Linked DNA regions of Lepisosteus oculatus. Each later gene encodes a partner of the first gene's protein in a complex. Links are inferred from orthologs where the notes say so. Each region holds a gene or a part of one and is shown on either strand. Other genes may lie near its edges. The genes, in order: tonsl and mms22l.

Region 1 (7,253 bases):
TCCCCATAATCAGACAAGACGTTGGAGGTGATCCAAAATAAGCTTAGAGATCTGCCAAAGCTAATCTACTTTTTGCCAAAAGCTCTATATCAGTGAACTTGCACTTTATTGCCATATGTAACCAGTACATGTACTGTACTGGTACAATGGAATTTTTACTGACAGAAAGTCTCCCGATTGTTAAAAAAAAGTGTAAAACACAAAGTGCAGACAGTGCATCAAGACAATATACAAACAAACAGTAGTCAATGTACAAGTAAACAGCTCGAATGTAAACAATGCAGACATGTAAATAATGACTGCAGATGTGCAATTAATAAAATTACAATGAGGTAGACAGTATAGGTGTGGTCCGAGGGCATGGCGAAATATGTTCACCAATCACACTGCTTGTGAGTAGAAGCTATTGAGGAATATGGTGGTAAGTGTCCGTATGCTCTTATATCTCTTGCCTGAGGGCAGTGGGGTGAAGAACTCATGCCCGGGGTGGTCACTGTCCTCTGTGATGGCCAGAATTCTACCACGGCAGTGGTCCTCATACAGCTGTTTAATCTCTGTGAGACCACAGCCTATAATCTTCTGGGCCACATTCACCACTCTCTGCAGTGCCTTACTCTCTCAACGAGAGGTGTTGCCGTACCACACGGTGATCCCGTTGGTGAGGATGCTCTCGATGGTGCAGCAGTAGAAGTTCACCAACACAGGTACTGGCATCCCCCATCGCTTGAGGCACCTCAGGAAATAGAGGTGCTGCTGAGCCTTCTTCAAAATAAAGTCCGGGTTCACAGTCCAGGTTAGGTCATTAGAACTGTGAATTCCCAAAAACCTAAAGCTGGTGACTGTTTCCACTTCCATTCCATAAATACTGAGTGGGCTGTGAGTGTGTGGCCTGTGTCTCCGAACATCCACTATTAGTTCTTTTGTTTTACTCACATTCAAGTCCAGGTTATTGCTATAACACCACCACAGCAGCTGTACGACTTCATCCCTGTAAGTGGACTCGTCGTCATCATCATCGAATCATCATTGACATTATAGTGGTGTCATTTGCAAACTTAATGATGCAATTGTCGTTGTGTCTTGCTGTGAAGTCGTGAGTAAATAGGGAGTACAACCTTGGGCTCGGACAGCAGCCTTTCCGCACGTGGTCTCTCGATTAGGAAGGACTGTATGTCCAACCACAAGGATTGCAGCTCTTTCTGCTCCTATCAGGATTTGAATCAGTTCACTTGCGATCTCCAAGTACACACACTGCAACTCCCCAGACAGTGATAACTCTACGATGCCAAAAGGCCGGGTCCTCTGTCACAGCAGAATTCCACACTGTCGAGGGGGTGACATAACTTGCCTAACACTCTCAGTGCACTATTACACAGAGAAGTACCACTCACCCTCCAGCCGCTCATCCACGATCGCCAAGCTCTTCTTAAAGGCTTCCTCCGCCTGCAGTAAGCTGTCCTGTGATTGGTCAGACTCATAGCGGTACAGGAAGGTCCGCCCTATGGTGGCAAGGGCCCTCTGCTCCTCTGCTGCATCGTTGACTGAGCAAGCCAGAGACAGGTGGCGCCTCTGGTGCTGAGGGAGAGGGATAGGGATATGAATAACGGGGAATGAGAGGAAGTGAGATTCAGACCAGTGACGAAGAGTGAAAGTGGAAGTTGGGAGTTATTACTCTATAGAGCAAGAGACTGAGATGCTCATTCGTGGTCCTACTTTGCATCTTACCTTAAGCACCACCAAATGAGTCTATGTTCTTCATTACGATTAAGATTCTTTTAAAAATCCAAATTAACTAAATAAAAGTGCATCAATTTCAGATTAATTTCACATAAATTAAATTCATCAAGATTTGATTTTGCTTGAAGAACTGCAGAATTGCATTAAGATAATACACGCAACACTACTTTACTAACAAGCGAAATAAATTCAGGCCATATCGTAGGGTGTTATACACCTGGATCTTTTAATTCCTGGATCTAAAAACCTATGGACAGTGTCAACGGGGCTGAATAGCCTATTGGACTGTGAGAATATTCTCCAGGCTGTATGCTTAGTACACCAGCCTCTGTATTTTCAGTTTTCCCCAACTAGGCCATATCTTACCTTCAGTGCTGCCTCTATGTTGCCCAGCTCTGCAAAGCACTCTCCAATCTTTCTGTTAGCAACAGCACAGCCAATCACATCATGTAGAACCTCTGACAGCACCAGCTCCTGCCGGTGCTCCTCAATGGCAGCCTGGAAATCTCCTAAGAAGAGAGTGACATTACTTTTACTGTCGCAGTCACTTCACCGATCCACTCACTGACCATACATTTGACAATGGCGGTATACAGTAGGTGGGGGGCTACACTTCAATGGGGAACTAGTGGGTTTCCTACTCAATAAGCACTATATTAGTGTACACACTCACCATTCTTAGCTAGCAACTCTCCTAGCTGGTTGCACAGGTTGGCCTCTTCTCTCAGATTGTTAGTGCTCTGTGCTTTAGTCTTTGCTTTCTGCAGCTCTGAGGATAAAAAAAATGTACAGGTTTAGTGTCAGGATGTCTGTATTACATTTGAAATGCTACCAATTTCTATACAAGCCTACTAAAAGCCAACAGATCAGTGGAGAGTCACAAGATGTGCAGCAACAGGGATCAAAGACGTACAATCAGAAGAGTTTGAAGGTGAAAGTAGAAAAGGCAACGGATTACAGGAAAGCTAGGGAGAACATGCGCGTTACCAGGCTAGACGTGAACGAGAAGAAGAATCAGATTCAAAGGCACGGGCAGCATTAACCGAAGGTACAATCATTTGTATCTTTCCCAGCCATTTGGCAGCTTATATAATCTCCAAGCAAAACTCTGCCTTATCACATACTTGGATTGCATTGTCTTCAAAGGACAGATCGATTACATAAACCCTGCGAGTCCCAATTCAAACCCGCCGCCTAACTCACGCTTTATCTCCCGAGAGAAGCTCATCTCGCTCAGGCAACCCGATGTCCAGGCGCTCCGATCTCCAACAGCTAAAGGCCTACTTGGTTATCTCCCTGTGTGTCTCCGTTTAATATATTCAGTGTGTCAGTCCTCACAGATGACAACACAGGTCATCTTTAAAGAATTAAAAACAATTCTTCACCCGACTGTATCTGTTGTCCATTTTCTCTTCACAATAAACCGCGCACCCCACCAATTCCGCCTCCTCCTGTCTCCCATTGGCTACTCAAAACTGCTTAGCCAATAGCTACTTTGCAATTGTTTCAAAGGTGTGACGTTCTTTCCGGAAGGCATTTCTTTATTTTGATTAGATGAGAGGAATATCAATCATATCTAACTACGTCATCTATTATAAACAAATGCAGTGTAGTTGTACTGTAGTACAAGCATCGACAATAAACATGGAGTAGAATTACAGTCTTACAAATACCTGTTTATATTTTGAAGGGAGATGTTATGGACTGTTTTGAGAACTATATATTTGCATTTTTCTAACTAAAAGTCCTGCGTTCCGACATTGGTTATTGTATAATGAAATATATTATTATTGTAATGGATGAATTTAATTAATTCATAAATTCATGTAGAAACTATGGTAGGTTTATTAATACACAGTTTTAAAAAGAGTAGGAATTGTCTGTCAAAAACTCTAGCTTGTCTTTTTAAAAATAATACAATCAGGGATGATTGTAAACTATTACCCTTTGCATTTTAGAGGTAATTACTTCACACCATAGCAATAGGAACGTTATATACAATAGGTCGCTGTTCCCGAGTGTTTTATTTGACAAGTTGTACATTTAAAAAAAAATAATGGTTTGAGCTACTTGCAAATGTAATACAGCAATGCTATACTGTAAGTTTAGTGAAATGTCCACCAGCGGTGTAAAACAAAACAGAAATCGAGAACATGTAAACTATAAGAGATTCAGTAGTTTTATTTCGACAGAATTAGCGTAACAAGGTTGTCATTATGCACCGTAAAGGTACAGTAAGATGAGAAACTTTAAACATTTTAAGCATATATACATATATTGTAATGCTCTCAGGTTCACATGGGTATGCACCCTTATTGCTGCCGTCTCAGGTCGCTCTCCCACCCCCACCGTTGGGGACTCAAACCCGGGCCAATGGCGTCACTCAACAGGGACCAAACCAGTTGAGCTAAAGGGAAATCTGCAGGCCCTGCTAATCACAGGGAAGGGCTCCTGATATTCACGTATTAACAGCTATCCAGTAACAACAAGATTGACGTTATATAGAAATATCCCAGTTGTGGTGTTCTTTAAGTCCTTCATAGCCATTTATACTACAATTTGGAAGTAAACAGTAGCTTTATGCGACACAATATATAAATAGGAACATTCCCAACCTTGTCTAAATTGTAATTTATTTAACCGCTGCTGCAGTTATTCCTGTTTTTACTTCTTGGTTTTATTTCAAAATAAATGCTAGAAAGAATTATTTTTAAGACCTCCCTATTTAGGAATTGTCCTTGCTTTAACAATGTCACAGACCCGAGCCAGTTGCACACAGCCGGACTTCCGGTGCCATTTTTTTTCTTCTAGACAGTTACTGCACACAGGAAAATCCATATTAATTACGTTCTGAACTTCAGGGTTTGTGATTGTGCTGTAGAGTTTAATTACAGTGCAGAATACAGAGGTACACAGTAAAAACTACAGGGTATTCACCTTTGCAACTGCAGAATACAGAGGTACACAGTAAAAACTACAGGGTATTCACCTTTGCAACTGCAGTGCACTGCTCAAAGTTAAAATTCAGAATACCAAAACGCGGTGTAGTGGTTGCCACGGTGACGCCTGGTAATGACGTCCTATTTCTCCTCTATTTGTTTCAGACTTTCTCCAGTCACCTTTACAGGCGCTGCTCTTTATTCACCCGCAAGAAGTCGTAAAGAGAAGAATAAGTACGTAAGAGGCCCCTGTCTTTTTAAATATCCCTGTCACCTGACTACACAACGCCACATTAACAACCAATCCTGGATGGCACACAGGACTGGCAAGTGAAGCCACCGATAAGTACTGGCAAACATTAACAGCCTTTCCCCAACAACGATTCTGATTGGTTCCACTTGTGACCCTTGTAGAGTAATCCTAAAACAGATTGGGGGACGTTCAGGAGTCTTTTTGAGAGGAGGAGACGAATAGAAGAAAAACAAAGATGGCTGCCCAGTCCAGGAGTCGATGTCAAGCTGAGTCGCGATAGAGACGGAAAGTCGGAGCGGATCTGGTCCAGAGGAGCTCAGCGCTGGTTGGGTAGGAAGAAAGCGGAGGATCGATGTACTGAGCCCGGGGTGCCGGTGATCTGGAGGCTGGGTGGTGACACCGAGCAGTAAAGACAATTCAACGTGTGTTGTTTTGTTTTCAGCTGAAGCAAAATAGATCTATATTTTGAGTGTTGGGAAAATGTAAAATTTCTTTCATAATAGACATCAGCATCAATATAATTCAACGGTTTCTCATTAGATGCAGACGTCACTTCTTGGGCATTACAAAATTGCACCGCTATTATTGCATCTAATATTACGAAATATAGTGTAACCACTTTTCATTGCACAGCTGTACATTCAGTTTGGGGCGCACTGCGCGTCTGAACTCGGGCTGACAGGCAGGCAGGCAGACAGACAAAGAGACAACCCGCTGCATCCCCGATGTCTTCTCTAGAGGAGAGGGGAGATGTGGGGGTCGCGGCTGTCGCTACTCCGGGCTCCTCTTCCTCGGCCGGGCTTGGGGTTGGGGCGGTGGGAGCCGGCCTCGAAGCGGGGCCAGGGGGCGCCGGGCTAGTCGGAGGACAGGACGAGGCTGGGTTGCGGAGAGAGGGACCGGGGCCTGAGGCCGACCCGGACGCGCCGCCCAAGAAGCGGGTGAGACTGCAGGAAGGCGAGGCAGGGAAATTGGAGGAGAGACTGTACTCTGTCCTGTGCTGTACCGTGTGCCTAGACCTGCCCAAAGCGTCCGTCTACCAGGTAAAACAAAATATTACATTACCGAGTGTCTGTTGTGTTTTGGTAAAATGACTGACAAAGAGAAATGAGTAAGAATTGTGAATCGAATGTAGAACCGAAATTGCAAGTGTGCTGCAGCTTTGTCATGTAAGTGCATTGTGAGTTCATAACATGAAATACTGTATTGAATCGGCTGTCTGCAGTGTGTGCCTGTTCGGGCTTGCCAAAATGTCGTGCCGACTTAAAAAAAAATACAATAAACTGAAGCCTTTCGTAATATTGAGTGTGTGCTGGTGTGTAACACAATGCGTCCCTACGCCGCCTGGCTGTGTGTAGACATCATACACATCAGGGCCCGTCCACCATGTCACCTTTCTCCAGGTAAGCGATGATTCCACCAACGCCATTACACAATGACACGTAATAAAATCCTCGAGTCTCTCCCTGCTGCTTCAGATAACTGTAAGAGATGCTGCATTCCTGCAGGGCAAAACTGCAGATCATCTCTTTACAGCCTGTGATATTTTAGTGCAAAGGTTTCCATCAGAGCAGCTGGAAAATTGAAAGCAAGCAAAAAAAAACAGTACCAGCGAGAATCAAGTTCTAATTTAAGCAAAGACTATAGGAAAGGGCAGGGGTGTCCAACCCTGGTACAGGAGGGCTTTCAAGGTTCTGTTTTTTTTTTACTGAAATGATGTATCTTAATTTGCATTCTTAATTGTTGCTATCTTAATTTGTCAACACTGATGTGATTTTTAACTGCTGAAGGAAAAGATCCTGAAAAACTGAAGGATTCATGGTTTTCAGGATCAGGTCTGGGGACCAGCAATATAAATATTAAGAGGGGTGAATTTTTGTTCTAATTTGGCAGTGATCATCATAAAATGGAAGATATGTATATATACTGAAGTACAGGTAGCCTGTAACAATGCTTAGCACTGTGACTTAATGTAGTCTTTCTAGCCTCTTTAATTTGTATGTTCATTTTTTACGTGAGAGCTGTGGCAGACTCTTCGTTTAAATCACAAGGTTACTTCTCAAGATGTACATTTCTTTCTCCAAAGCTTGAACTTTGCTTCAGAGATGGCACTCAGCTGAATCGTGAAAAAATAGCTCATTGTTAAAAATCTGATCGTCTTATCCTCAGGAAGTTCTGATCAGTGTTTGATTAAAACTAAAGTGATTACTTAGGATAGTAGGCAGTAGTTAAGTTTTACACTGCTGCAAAAAGCTCTTGTGTCTAATATACTACTTAATATGATCTTGTTTAGCATAGCACTATTATGTGAAATTTTTTGCGAAATT
Region 2 (7,213 bases), on another chromosome or scaffold:
TCAGTTGGCTTTGAGTCTCCATTTGAACGAAAGAGAAATGGAGAAAAGAATTCAACAAAATAAATGGATCAGCATCTGGGGTGACACATTCTTGACGTTTATTGTCCTTTAAAAACAACTTGTGTGCAAAGCAGTGTTAGGAAAAAAAAAGGCAGAAGACCACATCCTATCTTTATGTTGCAACATTAGTTTCTACTGTAACACACTCATGAAAGTCACTTGGGTGGTCTTTTGGATCAGAGGCTATCAAAGACTATGGAACAGTAGTTACTAAAGACACATAAACAAAGTAAAGAACTGGAGCAACACCATTTCCACAATTCCCCGAATACTTATGAACACTAATGCCTGTTTAATTACAGGCCAACTTTACTACACGGCACATTAAAATACCTAGTAGTTAACACGTCTAGTTAAATACAGATGAATTTTGAAGTTACTCAGTAACAGAAAGATGTTATTGTTTAGTAATACATTGGTGTTGGCATGGCAGGTAGCACTACTGCCTACTGTCTCACAGCTCCAGGGTTTCTGACTCAATTCTGGCTTGGGATGCCTGTCTGTGTGGAGCTTGCATGGTTGCCCTGTATTTGTGTGGGTTTTCACAGAGGATGTTTGTTCCCAGCACAGCCAGTGCAGGCTGTAGAGAAACCAAAAGAGCACAATAAGATGAATGATCTTGCCTTTTTCTAATTCTTTATGAAGAACTCCACATGTTCCGAAATACTACTCCCTTCCTGAAACTACATTTACAGTACTCCATTGACTTCTCAACAGAAGTTGCTATTGCAGCCTATTTGAACTCACATTTGTACAAAGATGGAAGACTCCCATGGCTTTCACTGGTAAAATATGGTTCTGTCTGAACATAAATAACTTCCTCTACAAATGAAATTTGGCTCGCCTAGCTAATTATGTACAGTTTAAAACCCTATCACATGACAGTAGAGGCTCTGAGTTCAACTGAAAATAGCTATTGTTCAGCACTGATAGAAATATCAGTGATTTATCTTTGTGTATTAATGCCAAGAGTGAGTTTATGACCATTAAACTAATCTTTAAGATCCTAATTTTAAGTCCTTTAACAGGAGTTGTGGCAGACATGAGAACTGCCTCAGTGATCAGAATCAGAATGTTGCGATTTCATATATTTTGCCATCCATTAACATGTGATATTGAACTTCACCACTTTTTCATAGAAACTCAAAAGTGGCCCCAAACATGTACATTGGAAAACACTTGTGCACACCTATATTTTAGTAAACATGTTTATAACAATGAATCCAAAATATAAAGTCTGAAGAAATAAAATATAAAATACACTTCAAATAAAAAAAAACTCAGTCAAGACAAATAGTGTTTTCTATTTAAAAGCTTACCTATGTACATTCCAGTACCTAGTTTCAGATGATATTATTATAGTTTACACTGTAGTTTATTTGTATTATTGTTATATTGGGGTAAGGTCTGGCCCAATGAGCCTTTGTGGCTCAAACAGATCTACCTACTCAGAGTTATCTTATTTTAACACTTTTATTTGTGTTTTGGGTGATTATAGTGAGATACAATGTGATATTTGCTGTTAAAAAATTAAAGTGGTGACACAGCTACAGGTACATATACAGTACTGTACCTATGTATCTTTTCTCATATTCATGCTAATTGATTGCTCTTGCTCAATCTCAGTTTGACTCAAACATACAATTTAAATAAGCTTTATGTTCTGTAATTAACAGGACTGCTGTCACACAGACAGAAAAAAAACAAGCAATTTCCCTGTTTTAAAAGGAATATCACCACCACATCAGATTGAATGCTTCAAAAACTTTGAGGAATCACTAGACCTACAGCAACAGGTGTAGTCTTTATATATTTAGCACAGTTTGGTTAATTAAAAGGAAATATAACACACTATCATTTTACCTCCTTTAAAGGCCATCTAGGGGATAACATTTCATTAGTCACACCATATAGTTTGTGTGAAATATGTGTTCCACTAGTTTAACATCTAACTGCTGCCTTGTGGAAAACTAATTACTGAGTCACTCTGTGAGCTTCATAATGTCCTGCATTTAAGTCTTGAACATCATACATAATGCATGGGAAGCAGTCTCTGCACTCTGATTACAGAACACTGTCATTAAATGAGCAAATTAAAGATGTGAATAATTCACAGACTGAGTGTATTGGCAGTGCTGCATTGTGAAATTAGAATTTCTAATAGGCACCGCAATTTTTAACCCAATTAACACAGAAAAAGAATAAAAATGTATAGAACAATAGTATGAATTTTACATTTATTGTCAGTGTAGCGGTGTTGAAAAACAGGATATCCTTCCACAACTTTTTTTCCCCACACAAAAGGCAAAACAGAGTCATTTTAAATTTCAGAATATATGTGATACTATTATCTGATGCATAAAAATGCTTTTTAATAACAAAGTAAAAATCAAAACATACAGTGTGGATTTTCTAATTAAATATAGATGTATGAAACGTGACCACATTTTCTTAGCTAATTGTTTTATTTGTTGCAAGTTCCAGGTTTGAACTGTCCTATCAGAGATTTTGTTTATGTTAGGAAAGGGTTAATTCTAAATTTCCCCAATGTTTAATCCTACTGTGTACAAAACAAAGGTCAACAGACCTAATTAGCACAATATGAAGAGTCTTACCTTCCATTCACGTTTCATCGGGATCTTTCTTTCTTGAAGAGTCGACTGTAGCACATCACATTGATGGTTTACTGACAAAGAGAATAATCTCTCATCAAAAATAATATCAAAACCTTTGTGCCTCGGCTGTTTTTTTCGTCTTCCATTTTCGCATCATAGTCAACGAGGAAAAAATCCGTTCCTGAGCTGGCTGTGTCAATTTCCACTTCATGGTTTGTAGACAGACTTGCCTTGCTACAAATAAAACAAAATGTTAGCAGAAACGCAGTGATCTAAAATCACTTCAGCCAACGATAACTGTTTAGATGTCTTTTCATTTCTGTGTAGAATTTACTGAAAAACGCGTGGTGGTACTGAATGCAGACACAATGCAATGGAGAGAGAAGCTGTCAGTGCAGATAAATCTGCATATGGAAATCAGGGTTATCCTGGGTCCAATTTTATTTAACTCTAGTGTACTGTTTTTTAATTAGAAAGGAACTCTCAGAGTCAGACTGTTCAAAAGAGCTACATAACGTTATTTTCATACACTTTGCGAACACAATTTAACATTATGTCATTGGCTTTAAAAAAATAATGGGAAGTTTTTTTCAAAGAAAATAAACCAGCGACCACAGTCATAACAAATGTACTGTACATCTTTTCTCCCCTCTAGGGAAGCCTAGACTAGTAATGAACAAACCTAAAATCGATGGACAGACATGAGCTCCTCTCATATATTTTCTTTATATAGACAAATGTAGAAAACGGCTTTTTAAAATAATTCTAGTTAAGAGGTAAATGCAATAATATTATGAGCAATACCATATAGTAATGTGGTACAGTATGCACCGAGAGTATGCAAAATCTTTTGTCATCACTCTCCAGCTGTTCCTTTCACCTGTTATCAAATGAGGATACTACAATGTTAGCTTCAAACTCGTAACCCTTGCCTTTATTTGCCTTACAGTCACAAACCCATTTCTGCTGACAGGTGTGTTGATAATGTTTCTTTCGCTCTTCATGGGTGCTCTCTATTACAATTTTAAATTTTAATCATTTTAATTACCGAATCAGTTTGGATCGAATACAGTATATGTTTTCAGTCCTTATTTGTATTCCCTGCCAAATGCCAGAAGAATTAATGGCCAAGTATATAAATGCCGCACTAGCTACTATCTTGCAAAATGTCTTGAAACAAGCAAATACTGCATAATATGTATCTCAGGATAAGAGTATGCACACAATGACATGTTACACTTATTTTGCATTTACTCTTATATATTACTAGTGTATTGTTCACGATACGTTAAAAACTATCCAGCAGCGGTTGAAAAGTTAGGACCTTACTTACTATTTGGGTAACATCATACGTGACGGGCACGTGACCGGAGTCTCGCTTTCTGCCGAACTTCTAGCCAATGGAAATGGAGGGGAGGGACTAGCCGCTCTCCCTGCGCATGCGTCTTCTGCCGAACTGGCGGCGCGGGAGAGACCAAAACACAAGGAGTTCTTTGCAGTAAAAAGGATTGGGCTTCCTGTGTGTGTGGTTGTAAGTTATAGGAATTTATTCATTTTAATCTTTGCAATTTATGGCTTTGCTTTCAGCATTTCGGTGTGAAGGAAACAGACGTTAGCATGCTGTAGGCTGAAGTTCTGGCTATTGAATTACATAACATGGGTTGGCCTGATTATTAATCACAAAGGATGGGTTAAAAAGTTAATCGGTCTTGTATTATTAAATAAAATTAGTAAAATGACCGCAATGGGCTAAATTACAGAATCAGAAACTGCAAAAATGTAGGTTTTGTATGTGTACTTTCTGTTTACAGGTGTAAGTTTGTTTGACATACTATAGCTGTATTTCTGCTTTGCTGACATTTCGTGCACTGTAAGTAACGCTGAGCAACAAGTAATTTCAAACGAACGATATGAAGCCACTGTAGATGTCATAACCATAAAAAGAAAATAAAAATAAACAGTTTAATCCTCAAAGCATTTTCAGTCTAGTGGTGTTTAACGAACCTTTTATCAAGAAAAACTAGCTATTCAACATATAAAACCATAAATACAATTTGAATTAGAGGTTTCGTTTCATAACGTACAATAGCCATTTATTGTGACTATTGTTCGAGTCAACAGATCAAATCGTACTGTAGTGGCAGCTGCCTTGATGAATTTTATACCTAGCATTTTTATCAGCTTGCTTTTAACCGAAAAATGTTGCAAAGACACAAAGGTGATTGTTGATTTGTGATCAGTTCGTAACCCTTCACAAATCGCAGGTCGGCGGCGTGTCTGCCTTTTCAGCTTCTTGAGGCGGAAATGGAGGACGACTTCAGCCCCTCGCTTACTCCCCCCGTGTCGCCCTTTCTGCTGGACAGTCAGTGCGAGGCGAGCTCTGTCCCGCCGCCGTGCTTCTGCTGCGTGTCCGAGCCGAGCAGGGCTTTCTCCTCTGAGGGCTACATTACAAGCGGGGCTCTGAAGAGGTAAATTCAAGCAGTGCCAAGTCATGTACCCCTCCTCGTCCTGCACTCACGGCAGTACCATTTGACTGTACCATGAAATGTGTGTACTTAGGGTCTGAACATTTTGGAAACATCTTTGTCCTCTTTCTGATTTTCGGTCCAAAAGTCTAAATTGCTTTGTAGTTCCTTTCAGTAAACACTCTAAATGCAAATTTTGACTGTGTTGTTACTGTCCATTACAACAAGTTATACCTTACTTTGACTGTCATGAAAGTCTACTGAATTGTGTCATTTTTAAATTTACCTACAGAATCCTGCTAAGACTGGATCCTTCCCCAGCTGCATATGAAACCGATACTGTGGAGATCTTTGGCTTTCTCTGGGTGACTGAAACTGCACTGGTGGAGTCTGCTAAGCTTCTCTTCAGCTTGCTCAAGTAAGAGAGTGGGAACCATTGAGCTACCTCCCTCCCTGGAGCAAAGCTCATTCTTTATTGCAGTCATATTTACTGCGGTGGCTCTGAATGGCATACAGTGCGAGCTAAAACCCCTTGAAGGGATGTTGCTGCATGTAGCACATCCATTCATGGGCAGTTTTGAAATGGTGTGGAATTTTTATTTTGCAGTAATGTCCACCACTGCTGTAATTACTGTAAATGGTGGCACTGTGGCTAAGGATCTCTGCCGGTGGCTGGAAGGTTGCCAGTACAAATCCAGCAGCCGGCAGAGGAATCCTACTCTGTTGGGGCCCTGAGCAAGGCCCTTAACCCCAGCTGCTCCAGGGGTGCCGTATAAATGGCTGACCCTGAGCTCTGACCCCAAGCTTCTCTCTCCCTGTCTGTGTGTCTCATGGAGAGCAAGCTGGGGTATGTGAAAAGACAAATTCCTAATGCAAGAAATTGTATATGGCTAATAAAGTGATCTTATCTTAGCATACCAAACCACGGTATGTACCACAAACAGTTTTGTGGGGTCTTTAATGATCTTTAACAACACCACCTACAATACCAATTTTTCAGTAATGATCTCCCATCCCAGTACTGACTAGGTTCAGCTTTTGTTAAGCGTCTGAGATCGAAGAACCTACAGGGTGGTAACAGAGTTGTCACCTAATTCCCATTCATTCGACAAAGCAAAATTAATATAACATTTCAATGGAACTTCTTGAAAACCCACTTAAACTTCTAGTTTTATGACTTTTGTTAGTCTACAGTGCATTGAATGGAAATATGAATTCTGTACCATTTTAACCATATTTACAGACCTTAGAAACCTCATTTAGATTCAATCTAGTATCTGTCTGCATGTAGAGTGAAGGTATTTTGTTTATGGAAGGTTTCAGATATGTGTTTGGTGTTTTGCAGGTGTATGGTACGTTTCGTTCTAGTGGTGTTTTTGAAGATTTATTAACACTGCTTTCATTTTTTTCAGACAAAAAGTACACAGATTGGAAACCCTGGTTCAGTCCAACACGCATGATTTTGGTAAATGTTTTTATTTTACTTGCTAAGGTTCTCTAATACTGTACTAAAAAAGGAGACTGAGGAAAGATTAATTTGATTAAAATACGGGGAATTCTAAATCACTATATGTAAAGATAGTCATAAAGTTCGAGACTGCGACTTACAATTACTTAGACTGATTCTAAACACAAACCCCAACAGCTTTGCCTGAAATATTTTTAAAGAGCAGACAACCCACTACTCCATACCTGTGTGCTATATTAAGATAAACATTAAATATCCCCAGATTAATTGTTCCAAGCCTTTATACAGTAATTGCTGACACTACACACTGAAGTGAATGGGTATAGCAACAAATCTTCATTTATATTTTGGGTTTGTTTATAAAGGTAATTTGCCAATGATTTTTTAGCAATAGTAATGTAAATGGTTAATTTACTGTTCAGTTTTAAGTACGATTGTAATATCTCAGCTCTTAATACTAAGGTATGGATGTTGGCTCAAACATGCCTGTTGGCACATTCTGACCCAGTCTACACTCACTTTTAGACACTAGCTCTTTATTTTTAAAATAAATTGCTTTTTACTGTATTAATTTGTGCACACCTGTCTCCATTATTTGATTGTTT

Evidence for each region.
Region 2: tonsl (region 1) and mms22l share a complex: the UniProt entries of both Homo sapiens proteins name them as parts of the MMS22L-TONSL complex. The link is inferred for Lepisosteus oculatus from reciprocal best matches to the Homo sapiens genes TONSL and MMS22L.

What each region holds. Positions count from the first base shown.
Region 1 is NC_090705.1:22,085,176-22,092,428, forward strand, and holds the start of tonsl (tonsoku-like protein), read right to left. Parts: upstream 3,177-7,253; 5' UTR 2,966-3,176; coding exon 2,941-2,965; intron 2,507-2,940; coding exon 2,411-2,506; intron 2,247-2,410; coding exon 2,104-2,246; intron 1,576-2,103; coding exon 1,392-1,575; intron 1-1,391. Other genes in the region: zftraf1 (zinc finger TRAF-type-containing protein 1), read left to right, coding at 5,655-5,969. UniProt on the Homo sapiens protein: Component of the MMS22L-TONSL complex, a complex that promotes homologous recombination-mediated repair of double-strand breaks (DSBs) at stalled or collapsed replication forks.
Region 2 is NC_090697.1:32,372,154-32,379,366, forward strand, and holds the start of mms22l (protein MMS22-like), read left to right. Parts: upstream 1-4,124; 5' UTR 4,125-4,206; intron 4,207-4,939; 5' UTR 4,940-4,979; coding exon 4,980-5,143; intron 5,144-5,432; coding exon 5,433-5,558; intron 5,559-6,552; coding exon 6,553-6,605; intron 6,606-7,213. Other genes in the region: PC3-like endoprotease variant B, read right to left, coding at 2,676-2,682. UniProt on the Homo sapiens protein: Component of the MMS22L-TONSL complex, a complex that promotes homologous recombination-mediated repair of double-strand breaks (DSBs) at stalled or collapsed replication forks.